Oryctolagus cuniculus: one gene and its partners. The protein of the gene in region 2 purifies or fractionates together with the protein of the main gene of each other region. This does not show direct contact. Links are inferred from orthologs where the notes say so. Each region holds a gene or a part of one and is shown on either strand. Other genes may lie near its edges.

Region 1 (3,946 bases), about 56 Mb from region 2:
TTCCCATGGTGCAGATTAGCAGGAAGCCAGATCAGAAGCAGAGTAACTAGGATTCAAAGCAAGCACTCCAGTACTGGATGCTGGCATCCCAAATGGCAACATAACTGCAGCACTAAACACTTGCCCCCTCCACCCTGCCTTTTTTTTTTTTTTTTTTTCTTTTGGAGTTTTTTTTTTTCTTTTATGATCAATTCCAAACACAGTACAGGGAAGATGGAATGAATACGAAAAAATATCATTTTATTTCCCCATTAAACACTAAGTCATATTATTCAAAATGTGTTTCAAAATCCTTAGCCAGATAACCAATTCCAGTCACTATTTTAGTTCTAATGTTCACCAAGAAAATAGTCAAGTAACAGAAAGCCATTATGAGAAACCATCAAGAGAGAAGAGCTACATTGCTATCTATAATTTAACTTAGTAGGTTATTCTCTCAATATTCAGCAAGTTTGCTTAAAAATTACTATTCCATTAGTTTATAGTGACATTAAAAAAAAAAAACGTATAATTTCAAACTCAACATTCCTTTCACCGTGAACATAAAACTTCTAAAAGATAGCTGTGAGTTGGGGTACAATAAGGACTGTGGCTGCTGGGACAGTACTGTTCAAAGCCAAAACGATTGGCAGCCTTGGAAAGGCATAAACTATATACACACACTCTCAGTATGCTACTATTTCTCATATTTTTTTCTTTGCATACTTGTCTCATAATATGGTATAAATAATTTCTTTGAAGACAATCAAGATGAATACATTTTCATCTTCATTTCAAAATAACTATTTTAAATGAAAAATTTTCTCACATTTGTTAAATATGTCTTAGAGATGAGTTTAAGTATTTTCTTCACTACATGTATAATTTTTCTACCCTATCTTAGTGCCTCATTACAATCAATTTGGCAATAAGACCTCTCTAGTACTCCATGAAAAACTGCATTCAATAGATTATAAGATCGTTACATCTGCACCCAAATTCTTATATGCTACAACAAAGTCTAAAAAATGTATGGCCATTCATCAACACCCTTGCATCAATTATTGCAAATAACCTCACATATGTATTTAATTCAAATTTTGTGGAGAAAGGGTACAAAATAAATACTACAATATTTCTTTAACTCTAATGCTGCCTAGAGTAAGATGAAAAGATTAATATTACTGAGAGGAAGAATCAAATGGCTTTAAGGTCTGTCTTCCAAGTAGTTAGAAAATTTTCACAAAACAAAGAGCCTATGCCAACACATCTTTCTTGTAGTGTAATATAATTGCTAATATGAGGTAAATCTGTAAGCAATTAATACAAACATGAGTATAAACAGGTATAAGTCACCACTAAGTCACAGTCTGGTGAAAGACTTCTCAGCTAAAGTATCTGGGGACAGGATTATGGGAAGTGAGAAGGGGGTGAACAGTTTTCCAGTGGGAATACCTTTTATGTGCCTTATCATTAGCATCAACTTATATGTAACAGTCCACTGCTGTAAAAAGGTATATCCTTTCCAAGTATGCTGGCCTAGAATATACTTTATATAGCATAGTAAGATTATATAAGAATTACTAATGCTTCATTTGCATTTATATTTGGATATACACATAATCATAAATGCATATCAAAAACTATAAACAGAATTTTAAAGTACTTTTATCTCATTTTGGAAAAGTTTACAGTTTATGTTCTATAGAATTTTCTATAATATCTAAATTCAGGGACAAAATGAAAGGAAAACATTACTATCTCTTTAGTAAATGGTTTGTGCAAGACCTCAAGCTTACTCATCTTTTTATATATGGGTTTATTTGATGAGGATTGTAATCCAATGATTGTTTAGCAGCAATTTTACCAAACTGTAAATTCTTTTATTAACAGGCATTATAAACAGATAATACTAATCTTATTTAAAAAACCATGAGTGCCACACCGGTGAATATACAGCTTATGAATAACTTAAAAAGTATTTCCCCTTTTAAAAGGCAACACACAGCATACAAAAACCTAATCTAAACAAAGAAGCTATAATATGAATACATGATTGATGTGTCTAAAATGATATATACAGTACATAATGAACGTTAATTATGTGATCAGTACATTTTTCTGTACGATTCCCTTCATGCTTCACTTTCTCCAGAAACTGAATTCTGAACTTCCTCTTCTAAAATTGGTACAATCAGGTTATCCTTGGACATCAAATTGTATTTCATCACAAATTTAGTAAACCGATGACACAAAAAGGTTTCATTTTCATATTCATCAAATATCTGCCGGTGATGAAAATAAGCATGCGAAAATATTCTATAAATCCTACGGCATACTGATCCTAGTTTTGCTACAGATGATTCCTTTATGCTAACCCTGCTAGGAAAATATTTATTGCTATTCAGAAGACATGCAGCACCATCAAGCGTGTGTCTAGTATAGTCTATAGCAGGACACTCTTTTGGAGTTTTATGAGCTGCACACAGAAAAATCCACTGTTCAGTTGCTGTCATTTGAGTACAAGTATCTGGATGGCATTCACTCTGAAGTTTGACAGCAAGTCCATTTAGCTCAAGACAGAATTGCCTTAAATGTTCATACTTCCATACACCTTCATCTTGGCCTTCAGGTGGTTCAAGAATTTTATCAATATTGGAGCAATCTGCTCTTATGTTCTGCTGAATATACTGCTGAACAGCAAGTGTACTGTCCATTTCATCAAAGGATTCATCAGGCCAATTATAGAAATCCTGCGCCTTGGTGCCCGGCCTGTTCCGCCTCAACACTGCCGTCCCCTCCGCCATGACCATAGTGCCAGAATCTCCACCCTGCCTTTTAAGAAAATTTCTATTCATCTGTGAGTTTTTGAACTCCTGTGACCATGCATCACTCTGGACTTATGTTGAGAACTGACCCCAGGGAGGCACGCATGGGTGCAGAGCAACCTGGTAGGAGATATGATGGTGCTTGGCTGCCACAGGAATGCTGTAGTCATACCATTAGAATCTGGATACACACAGAGGAAGTGAGGGAGGGATGCAGGAGGGGAGGGAGAGAGGAAGACAAAAAAGAATCTGGATATTCTTGCTAAGGTAGAGCCACCAGGAGGAATGGTTGCCGAGTGAGAAACAAATGAAAATTATATATATATGTGTGTGTGTGTGTGTGTGTATTATATATATAAAAGTGAGAACAGTAAATGTGTTTTTAAAAATTTTATTTTTTAATTTTGATTTTCAATTAGTTATAAGCAGTCAATGTAACATGTAGATACAATTCTATGAACATAGTGATATTGCCTTCCTCCTTCCCTCCCTTTCCCTCTCTCTCTTGCTCCAAAATCTCTGAAATATCCCAAGAAATCCTAAAGAACACTAGCCTTTGACCATTAGTTCTGATGTTCCCTGTCTTCATGATGCAGTTTATTTTATTTCCTTGAAAAGTAGAGTTGCAGAAAGAGAGAGAGGGAGAGATGGGAGAGAAAGAGATCTCCCATCTACTAGTTCACTCCCCAGATGGGTGCAAGGCTGGTGCTGGGCCAGGCTGAAGTCAAGAGCCAGGAACTCGGTCTCCCTCATGAGTGCAGGGACTCAAGCACTTGGGCCATTCTCCACTGCTTTCCCAGGCACACTAGCAGGGATCTGGGTCAGAAGTGGAGAAGCCAGGACTCCAATCAGTGCCATAATGGGATGCCGGCATTGCACGTGGTGGCTTAACCTGCTATGCCACAACGCCAGCCCCATGATGGCAATTCTTACCAGTGTCCTTGGCCATGGCTGTTAGTACTGGCATGTCAGCTCTTTCTCTCTGGTAATTACATTGGCAGGACTCGGTCTTCCTGTATTTTCTCTTGTGTGAAGCCTGAGACTACCCTTTCAGTGAGCTTCAAAATTTGCATGTTGGCTGCAAAGAGAAAAGCCATTTACTGCTTCCCTGAGAAGTTGGCTGGCTTTTTGCAATAATG
Region 2 (4,181 bases):
TTTTACCTAGTGGTCAGCAGAAACTCACATCGCACGTTAAAGAGCTCTCAATGAGATTCAAAAAACACACTCTGGCACCCGCCCATCCTAAGATAGTTTGTTACTCCTAAAAAAAAAAAATTGCCTGAAATTCTGGCTACCACTGAAGTGGTGACACTGAGCTCCTATTTTGCTAGATTTCAAACCTGAACAATGAAATCAGGCTTTCTTGCTATGGTTTTCGGGGGACAGGGGGATGGTTTCCAATGGAGGAGGAGCAGAGGTCCAGGGGCGATCCTCAGCCCTCCCCTCCATGTCTACAAAATAACAAAAAATCTTTTTTTTTTTTTTTTTTTTTGGCCGATCTCCGGAAGCTCGTGCGTTCTCCCGCCCGGCTGGGCTGTCCGGGAAAAAACAAAACTTCAGGGGCACACTGCACAGCAACGCGAGGCTGGAACCCGCATCGCGCCGCCACCCTTTACCGACGTGCTCACGGACATGACAAGTTGGCTCGCGATGGGGGTTTCACTTTTTTTTTTTCCAAGAGCTAGAAACATAGTCACCTACGGAGGAAAAACTTGGAAGGCGTTCGCGACCATCGAAAATCCAACGCCTCCCCCCACTTCACCCCCCAAAAAAGGGGACCGCTAGGCCAAGCAGCCACAAAGCACCAACAGCCAGGTCCACGGCGCGGAACTCCTCTAAATCCCACCAAGTCGCCAAGTGGAACTCCAGCGCCGGGCCAGGGGCCTGCGCCAGGCCGGGGGCCCGCACCTTCCCGCACCGCGCCCTGTCCGCGCGCCGGCGCCCCTCCCTCCGCCCGCCGCCCGAGGAGCCGAGCCCCGCGCGGGCCCGGGGGGCCTCCACCGCCCCCGCGCCGCCCGGGGCCTCCAAGGGCACGTCTTCCCCTCCCGTCTCCCCCGGCGCGGGGCCGCCGCAGGCCCTGCACTGCTCAGGACTTGGGGGCCAGGCGCCGGTGCCCCACATCCGCACCCAGGCCTCGGTGCACCCCCCACCCCGCGCGCCCCGCCACACATCCACACCCGGCCGCCGCGGCCCGCGAGCAGCCCCGGGAGTAGGGCCCGAACCCCGGCCGACGCGACCCCGGAAGGGAGAGCCTGGGGGGGGGGGGCCCTGTTTACACCGCCAAGTTGCCCGCTTCCGCCCCAGCCCCGCATCCCCAGTCCCTGAGGCCCGCGGCTGCCTACCTGCATGCCGGGCAGGCCCGACTGCACCGGGGAGTGAGCCATGGCGCGCAGGACGTCCACTTCCTGGGACGGGACGGCCGGGCCGCGGCGATCCGCGCGGGCGACCAGGCCCGCGGGCCGCGCCGGATCCCGAGGCCACCCCAGCCCCGGCGGGTCCCGGCAGCCGGCGGAGCTCAGCGACGGGCGCCGGGCCGCGTCTCCATGCACGGCGCCCACACGGGGCGCGGGGGGCCGAGCGCGAGCCGCCGCCGCTGCCGCCGCTGCTTCTCGGCGGGAGCCGGGCGGCCTGGGCCCGCACGTACTCGCCGCCTGGACCCGGAGTGGGCGCGCACCACCGGCGGAGCCCGCGAGCGCCGAGAGCGCCCCGCCCCGGCCCGGCCCCCGCGCCCGCCCCCGCGGCCCGGCCGGGGACCCCGCCCCGCGCTTCCGGGAGGCGGAGGAGGGGAGAGGGAGGAAGAGGAGGAGGCCCGGCGGCCGCCCGGGCGCCCTAGGCCGCAGGCGCCGCGCCGCCGCCTGCCGGCCGGGCCTGCATCCCAGCGGCTCCCGCGCGCGCTCCCACGCCCCCCGGGGGGCGGTGCCGCGCCGCGAGGGCGTCCGCCGGGGCGCGAGCGGGTCGGAGCCCCGCGAGCCGGCTCGGGCGCTGAGGCGATCCCGGGCCGCCCGGCCGCCGCTGCACTGTGCCCGCGCCCCGGGCGGCCTTCCTAGACGGGGGCTGGGCCCGGGGCTGCTCCCGCAGGCCGCGGCGGAGCTTCTGCGGCGTGTGAGGAAGTTTCCGACCGCCCGGAGGCCGGGGCGGCGACTGTATGCCGGGCGTTTGCTGACTGAACGCGGTGCCGGCAGCGCGGCTGCGAGGAGCGAGCGGGGAGGGCCTGCGGGCCGCCCGCCGAGCCGGAGGAAGCGGCGTGCGGACTTTGCCCCGCGCCTCTCCGGGCCGGGAGTGCCCGTTCTGCCCGCTGGCTGTGCGAGGTGAGGCGGCCACAGCGAGCCCCCAGAGGCCGCAGGACGCGGTAAGCAGAGTCCGAGGTGTCGCAGCACCGCACCCCTGCTTGTGCTGGGAGCCCCGGGAGACCTCAGGCCGCCTTCCTGGCTGTCACAGGGACACTGCTCACTTACAGAGAAGCCGGGGCGGTGACTCTGGGGAGGATGTGACAAATACAAGGCAGAAAAGCAGCCGCTTACGAGCTTACCTAAATTCTGTACCGCTAAGAAACGTACCTCGGGAGAAGAGCCAAACCAGAAGGAACGTGCACTCTTCGAGGGCCCGTCGTGTTCAGCCTGGGAATTCCACCCAAAGTGACACAGCCTGAGGAAATGACTAGAACGTATCGAAAGCTGCAGCGAAGTGGCATTTAGAATCCTGGGGAATCTACCGTGGAAAACCCTAACAGATGCAGTAAACAGTGTTTTCGTTACGTACTCACTGAAGAAAACGTAGGAACCAAAACAATGCACAGGCACTTCAGAAAGTTCATGAAAAATGGAATTAAGGGGTATTTGTATGTTGCATAAGGTTTTGAAATCCATGCTGGTTTTTCATAATACACATTGTAAACTTTTTAAAAGGCCCTTTGTGTAGTTTGATTTCAAGCTACTGCATATAAATTAATTTTAGAAACGTGTGTGTGTGTGTGTGTGTATTAGTAGAGAAAAACCTAGAAGTATATGCACCAAAATTTAGCTGTCTGGAATTAAAGATGATTTTTCTGGTCACTAATCAGAGCCAGAGGAGACCATCGTGCTGAGATACAAATGGACAGTAACATCAGAGCACTGATCTGAAGCAATACCATGGGAAATGCTCAGAAATTGTGAGGATGTGAAATGAGGGGTAGAAGACACTGGACCATAATATTCCAGATATAAAAAATAATCAGAATAATATTTGTATACCAGGGCTAGTGAGACTAGGAACATACGGGTTCCCAGTGGATGTGGCTTATCTGGACATGGTCTGAGACTTGCATCCTTTAGCTGATCTATCTCCTGTTCTCTGTTTATCTCAGTTTTTCTTCTTTGACCATTGAGTTCCATTCTCACTGAACAAGAAGAATGCTCATAGAAGTAACAAGTTCTTCTCAGTCCTATGCAGGCATCAACCAGTGTTTACAGAACTGTAGGTCTCTGGCTGCTTTGTCTTCCCAGAACACTGATGATTGACAAGGCCTGAGTCAGGAACAGTTCTGTGCGGTTTTGCATTCGATCATTACACTTTATTTTTTTTTCCAAAAGACACCCTTTATTCATTGAGTACACATTTTATAAGCACAACTTTAGGAATATACTGATTCTTCCCACCATCCCACCCTCCCCCCCCCCCCCGACTCCCATTACACTTTTTTGTGCACTTGTTGCATTCAGACATCAGTTCAGCATAGGGCATCTAAACAGGACTAGATCCCCAGGTGCTTGTGATCCCATCCTGGAAATCTAGTCTCACTATCCTAACTTTGGAAGTTTACAGTACCATAATTGATGGCACGTAGAGTGACAACAGGGTCACTTCCAGGGCCGGCGCTGTAGGAAGCAGTAAAGCTGGTTTGGGTCCCGGCTGCTCCACTTCCAATCTAGGTCTCTGCTATGCTATGGCCTGGGAAAGCAGTAGAGGATGGCCCAAGTCCTTGGGCCCCTGCACCCACGTGGGAGATCCAGAGGAAACTCCTGGCTTTGGATGGGCCCAGCTCCTGCCATTGCAGCCACTTAGGGAGTAAACCAGCAGATGGAAGTCTTCACTTGCTTGCCCTCTCTGCCTCTGCCTCTCTGTAACTCTGCCTTTCAAATAAATAAATAAATCTTTAAAAAAAAAAAATCACTTCTACCAAGGAAAGAAAAGGACCATCCTCTCACACTTTTCCTCTCATCACTCTCCCTCCACCCCTAATAAATAATTACAACAGATCATTTACTACTGTAATTCCAAAAAGAATTTGAGGGTCTCCATAGAGATTATATGTTCTCTTGTCTCCATGGAGATACTAACCTATTGTTTTCATCCCC
Region 3 (4,031 bases), on a different chromosome or scaffold from region 2:
CAGCCCAGCTCCAGCCATTGCAATCATTTGGGGAGTGAACCAGCAGGTAGAAGATCTCTGTCTCTCTAAGTCTTTCTCTCTTCTATGTAACTCTGCCTTTCAAATAAATATATCTTAAAAAATTCAAATACCTGTTTGACATCTAAATAGGAACATTACAGAAAGATACACACTTTCAGTGATAACTAGGTACAGTATATATCTAAATCCATATCTGTCAACTTGTGGGGTTCCATAAAGTTCAGAAGTAGACAGAAAGAGTAAGCATCAGACAGTAAAGTCCTGAAACATGTATCATATATCATATCTGTCTTGTCCAACTGTTGAAATCCTAGTCTTTTTAAGACTTATTTTATTTATTCAAAAGGTAGACAGAGATCGAGGTGGAGATCTAGATCTTACACCTGCTGGTTCACTCTCTCCCAATGGCTGGGGCTGGGTCAGGCAGAAGCCAGGAGCCTGGATCTCCCTCAGGGTCTTCGATGTGAGCAGCAGGGGTTCAAGTGCTTGGGCCATCATTCACTGCTTTGCCAGGCACACTAGCAAGGAGCTGGATGGGACTTGAAACAGCACTTGCTCATATGGGATCCTAGCTGATATCACAGCTGGTGGTTTAAACCACTGCACACGCTGCCCTACTCCCTTTGTAACCCAATCATTTCTTAAAACAGTTCAGACATCAACTGTTAAGAAGTCTCCCCTAATCACCTTAATTCTTTTCTCCTCTCTTATTTGGGTATCTTAAATGTGCTTATGTTTCCCCATTGAAGATTGTACCCTAATATTTGTGACCAAAAACAAAGATCTCATTACATTTGTTTGGCTTTCTTTGACATTAACATTGTAACTTACAATATGCCTCATATAGCAGGCCCTCAATAAATGTCAACTGACCAAAATCACAGTGTAAGTCAGAAGCAAAAGTTACACTATAAAGACAAAATATTGCTGGATGAAAAACAAGACTTCCAATTTTACTGGGGGGGAGGGGACCCATAAAAATAACCAAATCTTTTTTCTCTTTAAATTAGTAAGTCTATGGAGGCAGAAAAATAAAGAACTTCTATTCATAGAAAATAATAAGACAGGGTTGAATCCAAAGTGCTTACATTATATATTCTCTCAATGGCTAACACTATGAGCATCTATCCATAAAATGAGCTGCCTAAAATATACTGCTGTTATGCCTATCACCAAACAATGTATCATTTATACTGCAAAGGTTCTAGAAGGAGGGTAGGCAGCATAGAAATACTCACCAGCAGACAGTGGGCAAAGTCTGGACCTCCCACCAGGCCAGTGAAATTTCCCAACTGCTCAGCAAGAGCTAACAGTACCTCATCTTCATCATAAATTGTATCTGAAAAGGACAACAACCAGGTACTCACCAACAAGGTAACTGGCCAAGAGCTGGACACTCACATAAAACTAGCAATAGATTCAATATGTAAATAGTAAAAACATCCAGTCCCAATCCTAACAGTATTTTCTCCTCAATGAACAGTTTTCCTGGATCTGATTTACAGAATGAACTAGAAATTCATACCTTCATATCAGTGACTTCCCCATTAGCTATACACAGTTAATGTTTGTACGTATCTGGCCACAACATTACCATATGTGTTGTTGAATTTCTTTTGCACAGAAAATACCAGCCTCAATTTGGTGCTTTTTGATACTGTGGACAACAAACTCTGAAAAACAGCCAAAGCTCTGAAAGCCATTGGTAAATGGAAATGTCCGTGCCTTTCTTGAAACACAGACTCACACACCTGTAAGGAATGGCAGCAGTTCAGTTCTTGTCCTTTCTACTCCAAGTGCTAGAGCAATTGTTGATAACTTCTTAATACTGTTGAGTCGGAGCTTTACAGGAGAAAATGGAAAGAACAAAATAAAAAATGATTGCAATGTAGACCAAAAGGCAACAGGAGCAAACAGGTGAACTAACTAACAGGTCTAGGAATAAGGATAATCTTTCATTTACACTTCATTGGTAAGGAACAGTAATGTAACACAGCCTTATTAGCCAGAGGGAGGATTCCTAGGCCAAACTCTCTACAAGGGCCCGAAGAGAAAGGAATGAAAGAAAATACTCAGCAAGCGGGACAATGTTAAAAAGCCAGAACTCCGGCAGCGACGAAGCAGGTGAGACGGCTGAATACAACCTACACCGAAGCAGACACACCGCCTCACTTAGGTTCCTCAGCCAGGCCACCCGCTTTCTACCCAACAGGCCCAGCCAGTTTCCAGGCCCAGGGGAAGAGGCTGGGCTGCACCTCAAAGGGCCCTCTGGCATCCTGCGACCCGCAGGCCGCCCAGCTCCCACGCGGCCCGGCCCTGCGCCCCTCCCGAGGGCTCGCACGCTGGGCCCGCAACGGGGCGCCCAGGCGGGAAGCCGGCTTTCCGACAACAGCCCGGGACGGTCGGAAGCCCGACGGAGGGGTGCTGGAGAGGCCCCGCGGTGGGCCGGGGCTCGGCGCCACAGCCCCTCGCGAGTCTTTCCAGCTTCCCCTTCGAGTTTCTGCTCCGCGTCCGGCTCTTTCAACCTCCCGGCCTCCCTCACAGCGGCTCCGGGCTTCCCCCTTCCCTACCCTGAGCGACGCCGGACCAACCCGCCACGGCTCTCCCCGCCCCAGTCCGGTACCTGCACGTCCTCGTTGCGGAGTTCGTCGATTAAAACCGCGATCGGATATAGCGAATCGTCTCCATCTCCGCCCGCAGCCCCCGGGCCGGTACCGGGCCCCGCCGCGCCCGCCATGTTCTTTCTCCTCCGGATGGTCGCCGCCGCCAGCCCCCGCCCCGCGCCCCGCCCCGCGCCCGCGCCACGCCCCGCGCCACGCCCCGAGCCCCGCCCCGCGCCCGGGCGGGCGGGGCTGAGGCCTCGGCGCGGGCTCCGCGGAGGTGGGAGCACCGAGCCTCTGCCCCGCCGATGGAGGCTCCCGCCCGACCCCCATTGCAGGAGGCGGAGGTCCGAACTCCAGAAGAAAGGTGGGCTGTGAAAGCGAACGGAAGCCCAGTGTCCTTTCCTCAGCCGAAAGAAACAGGGGCAGGGATTCATCCTGCTCGTTGTGGTCTGAAGGAGGCAGGTACCTCCGTGAGCGATCAGTGTTGTGCTCTATTAGGACTCAGGCCGGCCAAAAAGGGTGTCCGAGGCCAGGAGGAAGAAGGTTTTAGCGCCTCCCCTGCCTTCATCCTGGCCCTGAGCCACTGGGTCTCCAGGCTTCATCTCTGCACTCAGGATCAAGCTTCCACAGAACCCCTCCACCTCTTCTTGAGCCTGCTCGCCAGAGTTGTATCTGGCTCCTACTCTGTAAGACAAATAACGCGGGCGGCGAGAGAAAATGAACAGTGCTGTCCAAACTCCCCAGTCAATATTTTTTCCACGCAAGCTGTTAAAAACATGCTGCTCTCTTGTTTTTATGTTTCTTTTCAGTTTGGTACTGGAATGGTGCCTTCTGTTGTATTTTCTTCCTCCCATTTTTTAGCTCTTTAGCATGCAAGAAGTACAACAATCAAGCAAAACTAGGACAAGCTCTAATCCTTGCAAACTGCGTGGAGTGGCTCCTGTGCTCCTTGCAAGACAGCCTGACGTGGCCTCCCCAGACCCGAGTGTCCTCAAAGGCGGCCCTGGGGGAACGTGGGGGTCTGGGAGTTTTTCCCTGCAGAAATTCAAGGGAAGGTTTTCATTTACCCGTGTTAGGGCAACACAGAATACCTAGATGTCCTGTCCCTGCTTTTGACTGGAATTCAAGTAATAACTACATAGGAGGACTACAAGCTCTGATATTTTTCTGTCTTATTAATAAATACGATTTTGAGCCGGCACCGCGGCTCACTAGGCAAATCCTCCACCTTGCAGCGCCGGCACACCGGGTTCTAGTCCCGGTCGGGGTGCCGGATTCTGTCCCGGTTGCCCCTCTTCCAGGCCAGCTCTCTGCTGTGGCCAGGGAGTGCAGTGGAGGATGGCCCAAGTGCTTGGGCCCTGCACCCCATGGGAGACCAGGAGAAGCACCTGGCTCCTGCCATCGGAT

What was found.
Region 1: the proteins of STK24 (region 2) and MOB-like protein phocein purify together in Homo sapiens (affinity purification with mass spectrometry; 4 studies listed by BioGRID and IntAct, with this or other methods). This does not show direct contact. The link is inferred for Oryctolagus cuniculus from reciprocal best matches to the Homo sapiens genes STK24 and MOB4.
Region 3: the proteins of STK24 (region 2) and PPP2R1B purify together in Homo sapiens (affinity purification with mass spectrometry; 3 studies listed by BioGRID and IntAct, with this or other methods). This does not show direct contact. The link is inferred for Oryctolagus cuniculus from reciprocal best matches to the Homo sapiens genes STK24 and PPP2R1B.

The regions. Positions count from the first base shown.
Region 1 is NC_091440.1:69,971,546-69,975,491, forward strand, and holds MOB-like protein phocein, read right to left. Parts: upstream 2,803-3,946; 5' UTR 2,793-2,802; coding exon 2,115-2,792; 3' UTR 220-2,114; downstream 1-219.
Region 2 is NC_091440.1:13,996,571-14,000,751, reverse strand, and holds the start of STK24 (serine/threonine-protein kinase 24), read right to left. Parts: upstream 2,802-4,181; 5' UTR 2,712-2,801; coding exon 2,403-2,711; intron 1,742-2,402; exon of another isoform or gene 1,230-1,741; coding exon of another isoform or gene 1,188-1,229; intron 1-1,187. UniProt on the Homo sapiens protein: Serine/threonine-protein kinase that acts on both serine and threonine residues and promotes apoptosis in response to stress stimuli and caspase activation.
Region 3 is NC_091432.1:103,722,083-103,726,113, forward strand, and holds the start of PPP2R1B (serine/threonine-protein phosphatase 2A 65 kDa regulatory subunit A beta isoform), read right to left. Parts: upstream 2,803-4,031; 5' UTR 2,759-2,802; coding exon 2,645-2,758; intron 1,864-2,644; coding exon 1,773-1,863; intron 1,361-1,772; coding exon 1,260-1,360; intron 1-1,259. Other genes in the region: alpha-1,2-mannosyltransferase ALG9, read right to left, coding at 3,119-3,308. UniProt on the Homo sapiens protein: The PR65 subunit of protein phosphatase 2A serves as a scaffolding molecule to coordinate the assembly of the catalytic subunit and a variable regulatory B subunit.